Macaca fascicularis: one gene and its partners. The main gene of each other region encodes a partner of the protein of the gene in region 3 in a complex. Links are inferred from orthologs where the notes say so. Each region holds a gene or a part of one and is shown on either strand. Other genes may lie near its edges. The genes, in order: STK24, STK25 and STRIP2.

Region 1 (7,006 bases), on a different chromosome or scaffold from region 3:
CTGTCATTTCCAAACCCAGCCCTGCCCTGAGAGCCACAGCTTCTCTCTCCGCTGCTGAAGGGGCAGGCAGGAACAGGAAAGTCTGACCTCAGAGGGCCAATGGGTGCGGAGAGCATTTGTTCCTGAAGCTCTTGCTGTCCCAGAGGGCCCACCCCGCCGGCCCCGAGATGGCCACTTGTGTTTGTCTAGGACTCCCCCACAGTATTTACAAGTCCTGACAGGATCATGTACCATCCAGCACTCTCCCTCCTGCCCGTGTCCCGCCTCTAAGTCTCAAAGAAGGAGCAAAGGCAGAAGAAGGGCTGCCCTGGGAGAGGGCCAGTCCCCTCACTGTGTGGAACGTACTGGACCCACCACTGACTTCACGGAGCAACCTGACCTGTGCTCCCTGAAGGAAAGCAGGGACGCCAACGCCCGTCTCCTCAATGGCCTCATCTGTAAACATGGGGCTATAATCCTTCTATTGAGCTTCTGCAAGTATTGTATGAAATAATGCACATTAAACACTCTGAACTCTAGGGTAGCAAATATCATTCATAAAAATACATTAGGAAAGATGCGAGTTTAGCATTTGGTTAGCTGGAAAATCCAGGATACGATCGCATTTAGGATATGTCCTGAATACTTATGTCAAAGTTCCTTCATGAGCCCAGTAAAAAAATAAACAGCCTCAGGTAAATGGAAAAACTCCATGCACTTTCCCTAACTGCCTGACTGACCCGATTCCAGAGGCCAACGGCAGAGCCGCAGGAGCGCAGCCTGGAAATCCCACGGGGCCCACTCCCATGGGACAAAATGAAGAGCAAGCTGGCACTCAACCTGGACATCCTAGGTAGGAAGAACACAGGTGCCCAGAACCATGAGCCAGGGCTGAAGCCAGACATCCAGCAGGGCCTCCGCGTGCCCTGTGCCTTCCCCGACATCAGCGGGCTCGGCTGTTTTCCACTTGAAGCTGCAGGTGAGGCCTCGGGCCCCGGCCACAGCCCTGCTCGCACTGGGCCCTGAAACTTGCCAGGTCAGAGGCCCTCAGACAAACCCTCCAGGGCAGGGCAACAGGTGCAGGCTCACTGGAGGGCTGGGAAGAGGCACTGGCAGGCTGGGCACAGCCCACGGCCAGGGATTCCCCACTGCATGACGCATGCACAGGAGAGGGGAATGAGCTCCTACGATGCTTCCTCCTCCGAAGGCCTCCCCCTTCAAGGACCAGGGCCCCCAAACACAGCCGCAGTGGAAAGCTGCCCAAAGAGGGCGATCCCCATGCAAACAGATGTGTGTGTGGCCCACAGTGAATACCTCAAAGGCAACCTCAGCCAGGAAGGGGCACAACAAGAAAAGGGGGGACTTCCAACATATTTTCAAATCCGCTACTAACCAGAGGCAGAACAACCTTCATTCTTATAAAGCCTACTTTTGAAAATCTCTCAAACCACGGCCGGGAGCACTTTCCTCTGGGAGGGAGAGGCTGAGCAGAGGGTGGGCACGGCACGGGGAGGCCCAGCCGGGAGCGCAGCACTGCTGAGCGGAGGAGGGACTTTGGTGAAACATGTGGCTCAGGGGAGACCGGAGGACTCCAGGGCATCCAACGTCTTCCTTAGAACAAAGACTCTACTTTTCATATGGCCAGAAATAGGTCTGAGGCAAAGGAAGCAGGCTGCACCCAATGAGATTTGCTAAAAAGCAGTGCAACGGGTGACACAGGGTCTCAGGCTGGGTCACTGTCATCCAGTCTGCACACTCCAGGCTGTGGCGGAGTGGCCACCGTCCAGGACAGTGGGAGGTGCAAGGTGGTGCCTGACGCTGACAGCCTTTGGGGAGGCACCATGCAGGCTTTCTGAGCCTTTGCCAGTTTGTCTTAATGTCCCCAACTCTTACTGGCAACATCACCACTGAAGTGTGTCCAGCTTCTCCCTCCCTCTTCCCTCCCACTCCGAAAAGGTCAGCCAGGTACCTACCTCTGCAAAGAGAGGAGAAATAATTGTAGATAAACACTGAGAGAAAGGCCTCTTTGGGATGTCTTTCATCTTGGGGGAGAGGAAAAAAAGGTCATCAGAAACAGTTGACGTTCACATCGGCAATAATGCAACGAACCTCTCACTCCTACACTTCACGCCGAGGAAACGCCCTCTGCGCGCCATGACAGCTGAAGACTATCGGCTGCCTCTCGCTAGACTTCAAAGTCTCATCTGCAGTGACATGCAAAACCCACACGCCAGGGACACCGGCATCTGGGTTCCATGTGGAAGGGGACTTTGCGTGGGCGCAGGTGGTGAACTGCCTCGTCTCGCTATCTACGCAGAAGTGCTTTACTGGTTGGACGTGATGGCTCACACCTGTCATTCCAACACTTTGGGAAGCCGAGGCAGGAGGATCACTTGAGCCCAAGAGTTTGAGACCAGCCTGGGCAACATAGTGAGACCCTGTTTCTAAAAAAAAAAAAAGACAAAAATAAAAATAAAAAGTTTTACATAAACTGGGCATGGTGTCACATGCCTGCAATCCCAGTTACTCAGGAGGTTGAGGTGGGAGGATCGCTTGAGCCCAGGAGTTTGAGGCTGCAGTGGGCTCTGATGGCACCACTGCATTCTAGCCTGGGTGACAGAGACCCCGTTTCAAAAAAAAAAAAAAGAAAGAGAGAGAGAGAGAAAAGCACTTTACTAATGAAACCCTGAAAATAGAAATCAGGTCAAGATTGGCCATTCCAAGTGCTGTCTATGACAGAGGCCGAGTTTCTACTTTTGCAGCCTCTAATTGGACATTACCTGTTCACTTATCAAAGCAGGACTTGTAGGATCAACAGGGCACAGCTACTGGCCCACCCTGCCTGAGAGAAACTACACCACTATGTTTTACACAAGACCCTAAATATATGGCCTTTCATAAATTTAACAGGCATAAAACCAATTAATCAAAATTGTTTTACATAAATATCAAAAGCAATGCATTTATTTATAAGGTCCTTAAAACTCAATCACAAAATTATGATATGTATGTAAGTAACCCCAACATGCACAACAGTCCCCCAAAGAGAGCTATGAAGTCATTTCACGGGTCACCCCCAAACCCCATGACATTGCCACATGTCAGGACATCCTAACTTGACTGCAGGGCTGCAGAGAGCAGAATGGAGTGGCACAGAACAGACCAGAGGCCAGACTCCCCGGTGTGAACACCTGGATCACCAGACAGAACTAAAGCTCTCAATCCGTCCATCCCCTAGCAACAAAATTCTATGAGAGCTGCCACCCGCACCCACAGCAAGCTTCACACACACGTGCCTCCAAAACACCGCAGACTGAGGTCAGTGTGGCCATTCTGGAGGGAGCAGACGTACCTTATTTCTGTCCAAGTCCGATGGCTGAAGAGCTCCATTCTCCAGATTCTTGGGATCTTTTTCCCGGATTGTGAAGATCCAGTCCCCAGAATCGCTGCCCCCTGAGGCCTGGCCATCTGTTTCCCTTAACACAGACACGCAGGGAGATCCCATCAGCGCTCGCACGTCTGCTCTGGGGGCGCTGGGACGTTTGGGGGAGGCCGCCTGGGGACCTCCGAACCCACGCCCACCAGCGCCAAGTCCCCACCATAACACCCATGTCCAGTCCCTTGGGGATTTTCCAGAGATGCCCCGCCTCCTCCCTCACAGAGACGAGACCATCGCGAGGTGATTCCCGCACCTCCCTGGTGTGCCAGCGTGTGCGTGCCCACTCTCCTCCTCCTCCTGGAGGACACCTCCCCCGCCTCCCTGGGAGCCCATCTCTGGGCCATCAGCTTCTCTCTGCTGGGCTCCTCCTCTCACCAGGAAAGCAGATGTCTGTGTGTTGGGTGTGGTGGCTCATGCCTGTCATTCCAACACTTCGGCCTCACCTCGGCCGTCTCTCAGCCCCGGTTCCAGGATCCACACTCACTGCCTCTATTTGGTACCCTCCACTCGCTCCAAAGCCCGCCGGTGTCCCTCCGAGCACTCCCTCCCCCATCATGAGATGTGTGCTGACTCCCTGTCCTGCGTGGGCCTCAGAGGCAATGAGCCCTTGGCCCTGCTCATCATCCTGACGCCTGTGGCCCCACTGAGCCTGCACCTCCTCCCGCCCCTCGGCCACACCTCTCCCCTCTCATTCACAGGCGGAGCCTCACCCTCATGCCGGCTTCCCTAGGGGCCGGCCTCACTCCCCCACACGCCCCGACTGACACCCTTTGTTCTCTTGGCTCCAGTGACCTCCACAGAGCAGTGGCCCCTAAGCCCACTTAACCTGCCCAGCTTTCTCACCTGAATGCCACACCTCGGTGCCACTTCACACAGGACGTCTCCTCCTGGACAACTCAGACTCATACATGGTCCACCCCACACTCGGCTTCCTGCACCACACATCACAACGCCTGTGGCCACGCTGCCCAAGCCTGGAACGTGGGCTTCCCTCCTTCACCCAAATCCACCGCCACGTCCTGGCTCTCAAACCTCTCTCCAGTCCCTATCTTGTCATCCCTGTTGCTACCCCGGCAATCTCCCAATGGCAGTACCTCAAGAACTTCCGAGGGCAGTGGTCTCAAACTTGGCTTTAAACTGCCATCACCTAGAGACACTGAAAACCCACTTAGGGTGTCACCCCCGGAAATCCTCATTCATCTGGCCTGGCGCATGGACCTGCACTGTGGGCCAAGTTTGACTCCTGCCAAGGCATGCACGAGAACAGACGAGCCCAGGCTTGGACTTCCAGACACAAGCCTACCCGACCGCCTTCCCCAGCCCTCGCCACACAAATGGCTCCAGCCCCGCTTCGCCTCTTCAGCCAAGGGAATTCCTAGATGCCGAACTTGACAGCAGTTCTCAGAAAGTCACCGCTGGTACAGAAGCTTCTACCAGACACAACAGAGAATCACAAACACGTGCATTTCTGGCCTTTCAGACATCCATGAAAAGCAGTTTCACCTGATCATGATTTTAAGAACAGAAAGTGTAATGGAAAACAAAACAGAGCAGAACCGAACGAAACAAAACAGAATCAAACAGCCAGGCCCAGTTCCCTACGCACAGCTCTGCCACAGAGTTCACTCGTAGAACTTCCACCAGCAACATCCAGAGGCTCAGCTCCCCAACAGGCCCAGGATGTGGCTAACACAGCAACCGCCACCAGCCTGGATTGTCTAAAAAAAACTCAACAGAAAACGAAACCCACACCAAACAAGTGACAAAGACCAGTGGGTCCCTCCCACACACACGCTCGGGTCGCTCAGGGGCCAACTTACGCGTCTGAATCCTCGGAGCTCGAGTCGTCGTGGCTCTGCTCGGCCTTCCATCTCTTGTACCTGTCAATGAGCTCGGTCAGGTAGGAAGTTTTCTTTGCATTGCGTAGTATAAACTTGTGCTTCAGTAACTCCTTAGCAGTGGGTCTCTGGAAAAACACACACAACAACAAAATATGAGATGAAGCTCTTGATCCCACCCCAAAGGACAGACTTCTGCCTCAAAATGTCAACCCGCCACACTGACACCTGATGGCTGCGATTCTACTCCGCACCTCTTCTCACTGTGACTCACCCAAAGACGAGGCGCTCAGGACCTACGCCTGGGCTCCAGGTACCATGGTGGGCAGGGCAGTGACTTTCTAAGGAGGTCCCTAATAAATGCATTTCCACAGAAACCTCTGCACAGAGCTTCACAGGGATCATTTAAGAGACCTTATCTCCTAGCTTATGAAATACTTTATGGCAAATAGCTGACAGAATGTATGTTCTATGTCGCTTTAACTTTTTTTGAGATGGAGTTTTGCTCGTTGCCCAGGCTGGAGTGCAGTGGCGCGATCTCAGCTCACTACAACCTCACCTCCCCAGTTCAAGCGATTCTCCTACCTCAGTCTCCTGGGTAGCTAGGATTACAGGCCTGAGCCACTATACCCAGTTTTTTAACGTTTGGCCACATCCAACCATATAATAGAAATGTCAATTTGGAATTCTCTCAAAGAAACCGGAAAGGAGCCAGGAGATGCCCTTTCTCCTGTCTGCTGAAAGAGCAGCTGGGCGCTCTGCATCACCAACTTTCCCAGTTGAGAAGGGCTGTTTCCCAGGTCCCTCCCTTCCCTTGTGATTGGGCTGAAGACTTCACCCATGCCCTGGGCTCAGCACCTGGTCAGCTGCCTGCCTTGAGGATGGCGACAGTGACAGGGAATGTGCTTCCCAAGGAAACCAGCACAGCCCAAATTGGAATAGACACCAGGAACACCCAAATACCGAGTCGAACCGAGTTCCCACTCACTCCAAATTACAAAAGCTTGACTACAAAAGCCAAGCACGTTTTCAGATTCAAACTCATGAGAAACCTGGATCACCCTTGAGTATTCTCCCTCCCCGTCCACCCAAGGGTGAAACCCCAGCTACCCCGGAGGTGCTCGTAGTCTCGCCTCTCAGCCAGCTCCTCGGTAGCTGTGGGGTGGAGCTCTGTGTGCTGGAGCATAAGCCCATACTAGACACATGATTTGTAAAGGAAGACATGCCTGCACGTATCTCCACCAGTGCTGGTGCATGGTGGCTGCAACAAACATCATCTTGTAATAAAATGCAGAGCATCGTGGCGTGCAGGACAAGCCCCACTACCACAAGATGCTGATGTAGTCATCAAATGCTGGTGTGGTGGTCTCAGCCTGCATCTCCCCAGAGGTGCTTAGAAAATGTTGCATTCCTCATGTAATTCTTTTACCAAAATTGGCATATTAGGCAACCATGGTGCTCTTGTAAAAGTAACCACTCATTTTTTTTTTTTTTTTTTTTTTTTTTTTTTGAGACGGAGTCTCGCTTTGTCGCCCAGGCTGGAGTGCAGTGGCCGGATCTCAGCTCACTGCAAGCTCCGCCTCCCGGGTTTACGCCATTCTCCTGCCTCAGCCTCCCGAGTAGCTGGGACTACAGGCGCCCGCCACCTCGCCCGGCTAGTTTTTTGTATTTTTAGTAGAGACGGGGTTTCACCATATTAGCCAGGATGGTCTTGATCTCCTGACCTCGTGATCCGTTTTTACACAAGAGT
Region 2 (6,369 bases), on a different chromosome or scaffold from region 3:
GAGCTACCCCAGCCCAAGCCTCTCCCCTGATGACCCTGGGTAGGTCAGGGTGCAGCAGGTCCCTGACATGAGCCCGCCAGCTTGTGGCCAGCCCAGGACACCTGAGATCTGAGCAGGGTCCTAGCCAGGCCTGCCCCCGCCATCTTGGACAGAGTGCAACCCCTGAGCACCGCCCTGAAGGCGGGAGGCTCACGTGAGCCCCGTGAGCTGAGCCACTCCAGCGCCAAAGCCATGCCTAATCCTGGCAGAACAGATGCCACACGCTTAGGGATGGGGCTGCAGTGGGGCATCTTGTGTGTGCCTTTACTTGCCTCTCCCCCACCCATCATTTTAAAGAACCTTCCAGACTTGGCTCAATGTACTATCTCTTAAAGTGTCTTCTCTCTTCTTGCTGTTGGATGGGTTTGTGGATGGTTGGTTACTGAATGCTAAATTATGCACAGGGAAAAGGAACTCATTTTACTTGGTGCCTGGAATGTCACTCTAGGTTTTTAACATGCTTCTGTTGGATTTAAGTACTGATAAAGCTGCTGTCCATAGCAGTCCAGAGGTAAAATCAAGGCCTCGGCCGGAGAAAGCATGCAGGTAGTTAGTCTTGGGGAGTAAACCCACTCCCACAAGGCCCCAGGGAGATGGAGCTGGGGGTTCTGGGTGCTGGTTAATGCACCTGCACTTTTCCTTTATTGACAGAACCAGCTTTCAGGATATCTGCTAAGAAAGTTCAAAAACAGTCATGGCTGGCAGAAGCTCTGGGTCGTCTTTACCAATTTCTGTTTGTTCTTCTACAAAACTCATCAGGTACTGGGGTTTCACTGGAGCCCGATGCAAGTGATGCTGGCAGACACTCACCCTTCCCACCTGTGTCCCTTTTGTATTTTGGTTCTGCCCTCCCATGCTTTGCCCACACACCCTGTGCTCCCTTGGCCCGTGAGCATTTGTATGTGCCACCGTCGTGCAGGTAGCAGAGGAATGGGCGCTCCCTGCTGCAACCCAGCCCCTGGAACCCGTGTCCCTGTGCTGTCTTCCAGGATGACTACCCACTGGCCAGCCTCCCGCTGCTGGGCTACAGCGTGAGCACCCCCCAGGAGGCCGATGGCATACACAAAGACTACGTTTTCAAGCTCCAGTTCAAATCCCATGTCTACTTCTTCCGGGCTGAGAGCAAGTACACATTTGAAAGGTAATTTTGTAGGAGGCAGCCTTGGTCAGCTGCCCAGGTCTGAGTGGGACCCCAAGGAACATTGGTATCTCCTCAGCTCCCATTTCTACTCATGGTGTTGGAGGCAAGTTTTCTGGGCCCTGGAAAGGAAGGGCTGAGCAATGCTTCCAGCATTTCCAAACAAACAGCAATGCTTTTTTTTTTTTTTGAGATGGAGTCTCCCTCTGTCACTCAGGCTGGAGTGCCGTGGTACAATCTTGGCTCACTATAACCTGCACCTCCAGGGTCAAGCGATTCTTCTGCCTCAGCCTCCTGAGTAACTGAGATTACAGGCATGTGCCATGCCGCCTGGCTAATTTTTGTATTTTTAGTAGAGACAGGGTTTCACCATGTTGGCCAGGCTGGTCTCGAACTCCTGACCTCAAGTGATCCATCTGCCTCCCAAAGTGCTGGGATTACAGGTGTGAGCCACTGCACCCGTCCCCAGGTTTTTAACCCTTCTTTTGTCCTGCTTGTCCCATAACCTGGGTTGTTCTTGGGACGGTGTGTGAGCACAAGCTGGCTTTACTGGTCTGACAGCCGCCCTCTCCTCCAGGTGGATGGAGGTGATCCAGGGAGCCAGCAGCTCGGCTGGGAGGGCCCCGAGCATCGTGCAGGATGGTCCCCAACCCTCCTCAGGGCTGGAGGGGATGGTCAGGGGAAAGGAGGAATGACGCTCAACCTGCCCAGGTCTGGACACAACTACAAAGAACAGCAGGACAGAGGTGGCCTCTGTCCTGAGGCTTCTCATCAGATGGGAAGTGGCTGTAGTCTCAGTGGATCCCCACTGGCACCAACAGTGTGGGTGGGCCTCATGTAACATCTGGGAGGGGCTTCATCCCCCCACCCAAGGCCCAGTGCTATGCCGCCCGCTATCTGGGGCCCTGAGAAAAATGTGCAGGTCTCGAGCGCGGAGCTGCTCACGCCTTGGCCCCCAGGCCCCTGGCTCATAGACACAGGGCTTGAGCAGTGCTCTGGGCATCGGACCAAAGCCTGGGCACACCCTGCCTCTCTCCCCAGAGCAGGGTCCCTGCTGAGGACTGGCCTAGAGCAAGCACTGGAAAAGAGGCCCTGCCATACACCCTGCATACCCACTGCCAGGACCCTCTCAGACAAGTGTGGCACAGCCATGCTGACCTTCCATCTGGTGAACCAAGTGGCAGCCCCAGGGGCCCGCCCTGCAGGTCACAGCTCAGCAAGTCTAGCAGAAGCCATGCTTGTTCCCCGTGTACCTCTGGAGAAGCAGAAACCAAAGTCCCCCTGTGCCCTGGGAGGGTGGGGTCCTCTAATTTATTAGTGCCCAGCATTCCTTCCAACGGGAAGTAGACGAGTGACTGCTTTGTTCACACACATTTGATTAAAAATAAACAGCATCTCCCCACCTGCATACTCCTCTGCCTGCTCTGTTCGCCTTCCAGGGGGCCAAGCAGAGCCCAGGAATCAGTCACAGGGAAGTTTTGAAGGGTGGCTGGGCTGCAGTCTCTGCGTGCCGTGATGAGGACTCAGGACCAGAGATGCTGCAGCCCTGCATGGTCCGGGCCCGCCCCCCCACACACCTGTATGTCTCCAAGTCAGGTCTTTATTGAAAGTGGCAGGGGCCTCTCAATGTTCTATGAAAACTAACATATTAACCTCAGAATATTTAAGGAAACAAGTAAATTCAATTTTCTTAAAAAACAAAACATTCTGGATGACACAAGTACTTATGAGCAGACACAGTACCTGATCCAACACCACAAGGCAAATCTATGGCCATCATGGGCCCTGGGAGGACAGCGGCCAGGGCACTCCTCTGGGGGCTGTCCTGTTGCCTCTCCCCATCTCATGGGAGGAGGAGGCAGAGCTGCCCTGATAGTTGCTCTGCGCCTTGGTCTGAGCGGCCATAGGGCTGCGTGAGTCTGCAGAAGACCCAGGCATAGCTCATGAGGACCATGCTGGCTGCTGGAGCCCCCGTGAGCTCTATTGCTGGGCCAGGAGAGGAAGGAGGGCAGTGGACATGTGGAACGGCATCCCCTGACGTGCACAACAGCACACTGCAGGGGTGGAAGGAGACGGTGACCTGGCATGTGAGGCCCACAGGATCTGACGTGTCCCTGCAGGCACGAAACAGCACGGGGCACCTTCCAAGTCAGCACAGTTCTTATGGAGCTCAGAACAAAAACAAAGGACCTTCTGTCCCCTATCTGAACAGCAGCGCGTTTCAGCGGGTGGATGTCAGGTGGTTTCTGTTGTGTGAAAACCTGCAGAGAGAAGAGCCCACCTCTGTGTGCATGCACCTCTGTGCCCAGGCTCCTGACGGCCTCTTGGGTGTGCAGTCTGCGGTGGCAGCCCTGACAAGCCACCGCACCACGTGGGTCTGAAGTGTCCCCAATGCACAGGGTCTCAGGAGCAGCACTGATTGGCCCAGACCCCACCTCCAGAGCTGCTGCCCAGGGGTGCCAGGAAGGGGTCCCTGGGTGTGGACCAGGACTTAGGGCATCTGCCGGCGGCATGGCGGTTGGACCCTAAATCCACTGGGCGGTGGAGGGCCCAGTATCTGTCCTGCCCTGTTTGCGAAGGACTCAGGTCAGCACAGGGGCAGCTCTGACGTTTTGCCGCCAGCGTGTTAGAGCAGCTCCTGGGAGCCACTAGGTGGCAGAGGTCAGCTGAGGACAGTCGTGTGGCCACTGAGGCCAGGACCCTGAGACGCTCCTCAGACACTTAGACTGGAAAGGCCCTGCCCACTCTCTCCAGCCCCAAAATCTCCATGGCCCTGTGAGCTGTGAGCTGGGTCCGAACAAGGAAGAGGATGCCATGCCGCCCCTTCCCGGAGTGAAGCGAACCCATGTAGTTCCAAGCGCAGCCACACCCACGAGTGAGCACTGGACCTCACCCCACGTCCAGCTGCTGCTTGGCGGGGGTGCTCTCCCCAACCCTATGGCCCGGCCACCCTCACCTCTGCACTCGCTCCACCAGATGCACCATCAGCTTGTCTGAGATGCCGGGGCAGGACTCCTCGGCCAGGCTGAAGGCGTTCTCCAGCTCCTCCAGAGCACCCACGCTCCCGCCGCTCTGCTTGTGCTTCTCTTTGAGCTATGGAGAGACCACCTCGCCTGACCCTGGACCCCAGGACAGGCCCTCGGAGAGCCCGCTCCTTTGCTCGGCCAGAGTCATGCTGGAGGCCTTCAAGGCCTTCGTCTAGGACCCGGGAGCCCTTCAGCAAGCCAGGAAGTGAGGTGGCCCAAGGAAGCCTGCCCTGCCAATGGGGACTCTAGTGGTCCTTCCCCACAGCCCCTACCCTCCCTCTACACTCCAGGGAATCTCGGGCCTCGGTTCTCAGGAGGGGACCAGATGGCTTCCTCCCAGCTGAGGATCATGGAAGCCACTGAATGGGTCCGATCAGACCCAAAAACACAAAGCCCAGAAACTCCCAAAGCACAACCAGGCCCAGATCTGACCTCCATCAAGACACCAGCTCCGAGCCTCTGTCACCGGGTGTCACCCACCCTCGGGGGCTGTGGCTAGGTCAGCAGGCTGCCCGGGACCTGGGCCTGAGTGGCTGCTTCACTGGGGCCTCCACATGGGCTGGGGCCAGTGTCCCTCGACTGCTCCACCCTCTGCCATCCTCAGGCAGGCTCTCCTGTCACCACCTCTCACCCACATCCTCCCCAGGCTCCAGGAGGGGCTCCTGGAGAGCACACCTGGGCCCAAGCCCACTGGCCACGCCCTGGGCACAGAGCTCCTGGCTGCATCACATCTCTGAGAATGGTGCCGACTGCCCATTAGCAGGTGACGCTGATGCAAGGTCATGTGACTAACCAGGGAGGCACCTGCCCTGGATGGACCCCGACTACATCTTCTCTGCTTTCTCTATAGAAGGGTCATCTGTGTTTGCACTTGAAGAAAACAAAAGTCGCTCTGGGAACCCAGAGGACCTTGGCAGGTCTGGGAGCACAAAAGGTCATCACAGCAGATTCTGCTCCTTCTACTCAGGAAACCCAGCCCATAATCAGCTGCAGGAAACCTAGAAGCTGAGACTGCCCCACGGCACTGTGAGGGGACATCCCCGCGGAGCAGCGTCCCAGCCTTGTCCCTGGCGGGGCTCCAGCCCCAGCCCCAGCCCCAGCCCCCTTCTCACCTCTCCGAAGACAGGCCGGACCAGCGTGGACAGGCACTGGGACCTTGGCTGCCTCTTGACAGGCTCTGCGGGCTGCAAAGGAAGTGGAGGCCCAGGGTGAGCAGGGCAGTGCAGGCGACAGGCAGGGCACTCCCATCCCTTCAGGCTCTAGCCTTGAAGGGATGGAGACTGGGAGCAGCCTGTCACGGCACATGCCCAGGGCTGGCCCCAAAACCATCAAGCCACCCAGATGGCCTGACTCAGGACTTGCAACTCCCACCCACCCTCTCCTCACAAATTTGGCTCCTAACAGGCCCTCATCTTCCCAGCACATGCTGGGGCTTGGGGTCTCCACACCAGGCCCAGTGCCACAGTGGGCTTCAGACCACCCCTGCCTTTCCCAAGCTCCTTGTCCAAGCCCCAGACACTGGGTGGACAAAGCTGGGTCCCGCACCCAGCCCCAGGGGTGCACAGCAGGCAGAGGCCAGGCCGGGAACAGACCTTCTGTGAGCTGTGCAGGGCCGTCCCCTTGTGAAGCTTGCTGTGTGGACTCGGCCGGATGGTGGGGGGGAACGTCCAGATGGGGCCCTGCTCCCCGTCCTCCGCCTCGCCATCACTGAAGAGGATGAAGAGTTGCCAGGGTCAGTGGGGGGAGGACCAGGAGGCACAAGGGCCTCAGGGCACACCTCACGGCCAAGGGAAACCCGAGGTACTGGGCGGCGCTCTGCCAGGCCACGGAGTCCAACTGATGCCTCAGCAGGCCCTGTCCTGCAGCCTTAAGGGGGTCCCTGCCCAATACTATATCTGGTCACTCTCACCCCTAGAGCCCACGCCCCTGCTTCTGGAGTGGGGACCACCCACGTCACAACACCGAGGGTCACCATGAGGATAAACCAGGCCCCTACATGTCAGAGTCCTCGGAGCTGGACTCCTCGCCATGCCCCTCGGACTTCCAGCGCTTATAGCGGTCGATGAGCTCCGTGAGGAAGGAGGTCTTCTTGGTGTAGCGTGTGATGAACTTGTGCTTCAGGAGCTCCTTGGCTGTGGGCCGCTGTGCGGGGTCAGGGGAACATCG
Region 3 (7,106 bases):
GTTTAAATCCACTATAGCAAAGATTTCCAAACTTTTGGATTACAGGGAACAGTAGGGAAAAAGAAAAAGGTGGAGAGTGGCAAATGACGGAGGGTTGTTGCTGTTTTATTCTGATAGGCACGGACTTTAAAAACTTTTTTAAAAAATTCAAAAAAGAACTGTTTAAACCCCCAAAATGAAGGACAGAATCTCAGAATAAAGAACAGCCATTAAAAACTTTTTCAAACTTTTTGGAAAAATGATACATTTTACATTATATCCCAGTGCGCGCGCGTGCGCGCGCGCGCGCGCACACACACACACACACACACACACACACACACACACACACACAAACTGGAACAAAAGTTTAACAAAGTATTTACCTTTACTGCATATGATGCACTATTTTATATTATTTTATTCCTTTTCTTTCCTTTTTTTTTTTTTTTAAAGACAGGGTCTTCCTCTCACCCAAGCTGGAGTGCAGTGGCACAATCACAGCTTGCTGTGGCCTCAACTTCCTGGGCTTAAGTGATTGTCCCACCTCAGCCTCCTGAGCAGCTGGGACAACAGGCGCGCACCATCATGCCCGGCTAAATTTTTTTTATTTTTTATTTTTTGTAGAGATCGGGTCTGCCTGCATTTCCCAGGTTGGTCTTGAATTCCTGAGCTGAAGCTATCCATCTGCCTCAGTCTCCCAAAGTGCTGGATAAAAGACATGAGCCATCACACTGGCTTTATTTTTTAAAATAAAAATTTTAGCCTCAATTAATAGTTGCCCCCTAAAACAGTTTGGAAAACACTGTTTTAAATTGTATACATCCTTAAATTTAATATATTGAACTAAATTTTTAGAAAAAGTCACTTCGATGACCTGAATTTTCCTCGTTTTACCACAGACCAGTTAAAACTTTGTCAAGGAGTTGGAGATCAATAAACCAGATCTGGCTAAAAGAGGTCTGAGATGAATCCTTTTGTTAGGTTAAGACTCTTCTTATTAAGCAAACAATTATTCTTTAGCTTCCTTTTTAGGTTGGGATGTTCGTTCACACACGAAGCCAGTGGGAGAAGGTAGGTCAACAGTGCTTCCATAAACAGTGATACATGATGAGGCTCTCTTAACTTGTGCCACAGTAATTCTCTTCTAGTGATTTTTTAAAAGCCCTGGAGAGGAAAAAAAAACCCATCTCCTCTAAGGACTGCCTTCCACGGGAAAGCAAAAAGAAGCAGAGAAGAAAAGCAGATCTGGCACCTGGGTACTGTGGTGATAAGGGATGTACTGGCAGGTAAAAGGAGTTCTGCTGCCGCAGAAGGTAAAGGAAAGCTAATCTTTCCAGCCAGGCTTTCGGCAGGCAATGAGCCCAGATAGAGATGATTGCAGCAGTTGTTCATTTCCAGGCATGAAGAGTGCAGCTGCAGACAATCAGCAGGTAAACTGCGGTGCAGGTGGAAAGCTTTCGAGTCTCAAAGGACTGTACTCTCAGAGCCTTTGCCTGAAGAAGCCTTGACAGGTGGGGAACAGATTGCAACCTTAGAAGGGAGACCCAGGCAGAGACTTTTATTCCCCCCATAGAACATACGATTGTGAAATTATTTTATTTATTTACTCACAATTTGTCTCCCCATGGGGGAAGACCCTATCTTGTTCACTGATATATCCCTAGCACCTAAAATAGTGACTGGCAGAAAGTCCTCCATAAATAATTATTGAATTAATGAATGGCTCACCTCCCCAAAAAAACATTTGAGCGAGAACAATGTCTTTGTGGGGGAAGGAGGTACAGGGTGCCCTAAAAGATCAGACTCATCTTGAGGTAGGGAGGGAGATGATGTGGTGGATATCATCTAGCAAGACAGGAGGGCTGAGCTCTTCCTCTGCAAGGTGGTGACTCTGGGCCAGTCTTTTCGTCTCCACTTCTACCTTTTAAAAAATGAATGGATTCCTCCTACTCTACCTACATCAAAATGGAAAGCATACATGAAATCACTTTGGAAACTGAAATGCTATTTAAATGGTAAGGCAAGGTCTGGAATGCCAAAGACCTGGCTTCTAGTACCAGCTCTGCCACTTGATGATGATGATGATGATGACGATAGTAATATACTCAGAGTTACTATGTACTGACTAATTACATGCATTGTGCCTGCACTGTGCCAAACATTTTATAGTCAATTATCTCATTTTGACTTTATCACAACCTTCTGAGGTAGGCAGTGTTAATCTCATTTTACAGATGAAGAAACTGGAGCTCAGAGAGGTTTGGTAATGTGCCGAAAATCACACAGGCAGTAAATGATAGGGCTGGGATTCAAAACCTGGTCCGACTACTCCAAAGCCTCGTGTTCTTGACCACAAAGTATGCCAGATGTCTGATCTTGGGCAAGTCACTCCTCTTTCTTTTAGGTCTGTAAAATTAAAGGGCTATACCAGATGATTTCTGCAGACCCTGCCACATCTGACATTTTGTCATCTATTCTGATTCCGGCTCCGCTCAGATCCAACTGATGGAAACTGCCTCAATGAGGGGATAGGGGAGTGATAATAATTCAATGCTTTCATCTTCCTAGGTAGCGTTTCTTTTTTCAGGAGAGGAGGAAGAGATCGAAATATTCATACTCCTATCTGTATCCTGGGACTGCTCCCTCCAGATAGCCACTCCTGGACTGCAGGGGCCTGATGTCCGCGGAAGGCGCTCCCTAAACGGCCTAAGACTTATGGGGGATGTGGGGGAAGGGGATGGGCAGGGAACGGGCAGAAGTCCCTCGGCCACAGTGGATCTGTCCAGGGGCCCGCCGCAGGCAGCCTGGGGTGGGGGAGTGCGGTTGCCCCACTCGCCAATCCTGCTTTCCTGCAGCTGAGCTCCAGCCTTCCATCCCTGAAGCCAGTCACTTCACCTCTCCGCTCCTGTTCCCCCCTCCATAAACTGGGATCGGAATTTCTGCTTCAAGGGGCTGCAGCGATTAAGTGAGATAAATATTTGGAAAGTACCTGGTCCGCTCAATACCGCGCTCATCTTCGCGCAGCGGGGGAAAGCCAGAGGGCTAGAAAGCCCCCAACCCGCGGCAGGAGACGTGCGGACAAGGGTCGGGGCCAAAAAGCCCAGAGTACAGCCGCTAGGACCCCGCAGGCGCCCACTGCGCGGGGCTGACCGAGCGCGCCGAGGGCTCCGGGGCCGAGGCCGAATCACCTCAGCCGCCGCTTCCCGCCCGCGAGCGTCTCCGGGCCCCAGCCGAAGCTCTCCGGGCTCCTCACCTCTGACTCCCGCCGCTGGCTTCGGAACGCTTCGCGGCCCTTGGGCGCCGCCTGCTTCCCTTTGCCGCCGCCGTTGCCATTGCCGTTTGCGGGAGGGCCCCCGGTCCCGGGCACGGCGGGGTCCTCCATGCTGCTGGTCAGCGGCTCCCCTCAGGGTTCAGCTCGCTTTGCCCGGGGCGACCCCACAGCCGCGCGCCGGGAGCCAGGACCCGCCCCCTCCGCCGCTATTGGTTACGGCCGCTGGCCGCAACCCCGCCCCGCGAGGCGATTGGCTGCTCGACCGGCCGGAGCGGGACACGAGGAGGTGGGGGCTCATTGAAGAGATTTTGGGGGTATCTTTTTAGTCCTGCTGCATTGCTGGCAGCCAGAGACTCCTAGGTTAGCTACAGACTCCACGACTTGCGAAAGCTGGGCCTTGAGCTCAGGAGGTTTATCTCTGTGCTCCTCACTCGGTGTCTCTCAGCACTCACCCCCGTCCCTGTAGCGACCTTTTCTGGAGCTCTAGTCTCCGCCTCCTGCTCCACTGCAGCCTCCGTTTCCCTGTTACCACCGACCCGGACCCCCACATCCCGGCTTCTGCACACGTCCCATATCCCGCTTAGTCGCAGAGGAGGGATGGCACCGCCATGTGGCCAGGGACATCGCCCGAAACGAGGGACTCGCTGTCTCCGGAAGCTGAGAATTCTCAGCGTTTTTCTGAAGAGAACGCATCTCGCCCGGAGCTAGGGCTTGGCTGGGAGACTGGGGGTCTAAGGGTGTGTTGGGGGCGTTTTTCCGTCACTGAAATTGGTGATGCCCTCGAGGGCTGCTCCTGTCATCTGCCCTTCTCTGCTGTAGGGGGCCTCTTCCTCATGGTGTGTAAATGTTGGCTGGAGAGCAAGCCACCACCCTCACCTCACCTGCTCGCCAGTCCTTTCTTTCCTTCCTCTCTCTTTTCTAACATGCTTCCTAAGGGCTCATTGTTACTGGGAGCAAAAGAAGCTGTTTGATCTGCCCTCTCCTGAATTTAAAAAAGCAGCTTGTAGTAAATATTTAGACAGTCTGACTTGGTAATAGAATCCCCAAAGACATAGGCCCAGGGGAACGGGTGGGACCAAATCGCTCTCCCTAGCCTGGTTGCTTTCGGAAGGGTCTGGGGGATTGTTGAACTGTGCTTGGTGCCAGGCACTGCAGTAGGCGCTTTCCAGATATCACATCATACCTCTCCCCGACAGGGTATTTTTACGAATCCAATGTTACTGATGAGGAAACCGGCACTTGCAGATTCCTCCCTGCAGTTCCCAAGGTATCATATTCTATCTCGTCTCAGGGTCTTGCCTATGCTGTTGTCTGGAGGAGACTGTCTTCTCTTTTCCTGGTTGATTCCTTTTCTCCCTTCCCTTAAAGATTCTAGTTAGTTATCACCTCCTCCTCCTCCACAAAGCTTTCCTTTTGGCCCTCAACTCATTCAGGCTGTGTTGGTGTCAAGCCAGTTCTGCCTAGATCCAAAATCCTAACATTTTCCACAATATACCCAAAGCAAGGGGCCTAGAGGAATTAATCCACCTTCCCATATCTTAGGGACAACTCTGTCCCTTTCTTACCATCTTTCTCTCTCTCACTTTTCCTTTTGCCAGTTCATAGGTGACAGAACAAGGCAAGTTTGAGAGCACTCTTTGGAGCTTTTTGGGTTTTCTCACCCTGGTCCTCAATATCTCCTTACTGTACCCACCCATCTTCCCTTTCTTCTTCCAGTCCCTCTCATCTCCCCATCCACATATAGGCTACTTGCGAGTAAGACCAAATTTAGCTCATTTTTGTATGCCCCTAATTTATGTACGTTTAACACAGGGTTTCACAGTCTCTCTACTATTGACAATTGGGGCTGAACACTTATTGTAGTGGGCTGTCCTGTGCATTGTAGGATGCTTAGCAGAATACCTGGCCTCTCTTCACTAGATGCCAGTAAGTAGTATCCTCCCACTAGTGCGACAATCAAAAATCTCTCCAGATACTGAAAAATGTCCCTGGTGGTGGGGGGGGGGGGCGGAAGGGGCATTTACAGAATTGAATTGATATGAATTTCCAAGAAAGTCCCTGGCTCAAGGCCTGAACTACTTGACTTTGGAGTTTTTTCAGGGTATAATTTGTTAAACTCTTAAAAAATTACACTCTGCTTTAAAATTCACAACCCACGCCTTGCTCATCACTGCTTCAGTGTGGTAAACTTGCCATAGCACAGCCCATTGGGGTTTCTTAATAAAAAGAATTCATTATTCTATCTCTTTTCTTCCCAGTACTTCTTCTCCTCCTAAGTAGTCAGAGCCCTAAGGTTAACAGGCCCAGAACTTCATATTCTTTTGTGAGCCTAGTCAATCAGCAGAATATCAACCGTGGTAGCAGACAGGAGCGGCCAGTTTTAACGCTTTATTCCTTTTCCTGCCTACTCCTAGTGGAAAGGGCAGACTGATCTTGGGAGTAGGATAGAGGACAGCTTGCAAGTCCCCTCTGGTGGCTTGGCTATCTAAAGCCACTTACTAAGCCTAGAGCTCCATCTGGCTTTAATTTCAGAGAAGGAATGTGTAAAACTGGTGCTATGAAGACTGCGTAGAGTCAACACGAGACCTCAATCCATGATCTTTTCCACATCTCAGTGGAATAGAAGACCTTTACTAAGATCAGACACCTATGTGCTCATTATAGGCCCAGACATTCAAAATTTCTAATAAGGAGGAAGATATCTGGAAACGACTGGAAGATGCAACAAGAAATCACAGAGTAACTGAAAACTTTGAAACTATAGGCCATGGAATTGGCACACATTCAATTTATTTTAGCTTATTTGTCAACAAAGGCATGTTAGCCATCAATACCATTCACCACAGAGGCACCCATACCTGGGAGCTAGTCGAGGCTGGTCAAGTCTTTCCACCTTGCGGAGATGACTCTAATGCTGTTATTTTTATATTTGACTTTATTAAAAAACCTACATTACCAATTTCCCTTGTCCCAAAACTCAAGGCTGCCAGCAGAGGGTTGGAGGTATAAATAGGTATAGTTACAATAATCACATATACCCTTTTCCCCATATAAGCACTCCACTTTAATCCACAGAGGTCAGATACTTTACTAAATGGATAGTAGCTGGCACTGAGAAAGCTTAATAAGATGCAGGAAGTTTTAAAGTACCTGCTTTTTGAGGCTACCAGGCAGTTATGATAATTTAGTAAAAAAAGGATAGAACACCCTCCTCTCTCCATAAAGGGCACCTGTGGGTGTAATGATGCAACAGAGGTTGTAGGGTTCTAGACTGAGACAAGGAATTATGTCTATGCAGTCAGCAGTGCACGCCAGGCTCTGTAAATAAGCAGCACTTTTTATACATCAGTTCATTAAATCCTTACCCTAGGAGATAAGCAGTATCCATTTCACAGGCAAGAAAATCAAGGCTGTGAGTGGTTATGTAATTTGGCTAAGTTACGTAACTTGTAAATGGCAGAGCTGGGATTCAAACCCAAGCTAGCCTGTTTCAAAGTTCAAGTTATTTTCCACAATACTGTGAGGTGGAGAAACTTGTGCAGCAGTGGACAGCTTGGGCTTACCCTGTGATTCTGAAATGAAGACCCAGGCACCCAAGGTTCCATCCTTCACAAATGAGGAGTCAAGCCCTGTCGCAGGGGAGCGAATCCTTTCAGCTGCCTCACTGGCTTCACTGCTAGCTGCTGCATTCTCCTCCTAACTGGAATGCCACTAATTTTGAGGATTACCGACTGCCCAGACTATTCTAGTCCTGTGGCCCTTAATCTAAATAATCAGAAGCCAAAGTGGCAGAAGATTCTGCTATGGAAAGAAAACATCTTGCATACAGGATGCAGAACTAGTTTAGGTTGTC

Evidence for each region.
Region 1: STRIP2 (region 3) and STK24 share a complex: the UniProt entries of both Homo sapiens proteins name them as parts of the core of STRIPAK complex. The link is inferred for Macaca fascicularis from reciprocal best matches to the Homo sapiens genes STRIP2 and STK24.
Region 2: STRIP2 (region 3) and STK25 share a complex: the UniProt entries of both Homo sapiens proteins name them as parts of the core of STRIPAK complex. The link is inferred for Macaca fascicularis from reciprocal best matches to the Homo sapiens genes STRIP2 and STK25.

The regions. Positions count from the first base shown.
Region 1 is NC_088391.1:89,352,067-89,359,072, forward strand, and holds part of STK24 (serine/threonine-protein kinase 24), read right to left. Parts: intron 5,385-7,006; coding exon 5,239-5,384; intron 3,456-5,238; coding exon 3,332-3,455; intron 2,022-3,331; coding exon 1,953-2,021; intron 1-1,952. UniProt on the Homo sapiens protein: Serine/threonine-protein kinase that acts on both serine and threonine residues and promotes apoptosis in response to stress stimuli and caspase activation.
Region 2 is NC_088386.1:137,443,490-137,449,858, forward strand, and holds the end of STK25 (serine/threonine-protein kinase 25), read right to left. Parts: coding exon 6,200-6,369; intron 5,911-6,199; coding exon 5,796-5,910; intron 5,388-5,795; coding exon 5,316-5,387; intron 4,271-5,315; coding exon 4,134-4,270; intron 3,439-4,133; coding exon 3,399-3,438; 3' UTR 2,760-3,398; downstream 1-2,759. Other genes in the region: FARP2 (FERM, ARHGEF and pleckstrin domain-containing protein 2), read left to right, coding at 691-798, 1,029-1,180, 1,755-1,872. UniProt on the Homo sapiens protein: Oxidant stress-activated serine/threonine kinase that may play a role in the response to environmental stress.
Region 3 is NC_088377.1:170,899,786-170,906,891, reverse strand, and holds the start of STRIP2 (striatin-interacting protein 2), read right to left. Parts: upstream 3,400-7,106; 5' UTR 3,365-3,399; coding exon 3,236-3,364; intron 1-3,235. UniProt on the Homo sapiens protein: Plays a role in the regulation of cell morphology and cytoskeletal organization. Required in the control of cell shape. Calmodulin-binding scaffolding protein which is the center of the striatin-interacting phosphatase and kinase (STRIPAK) complexes.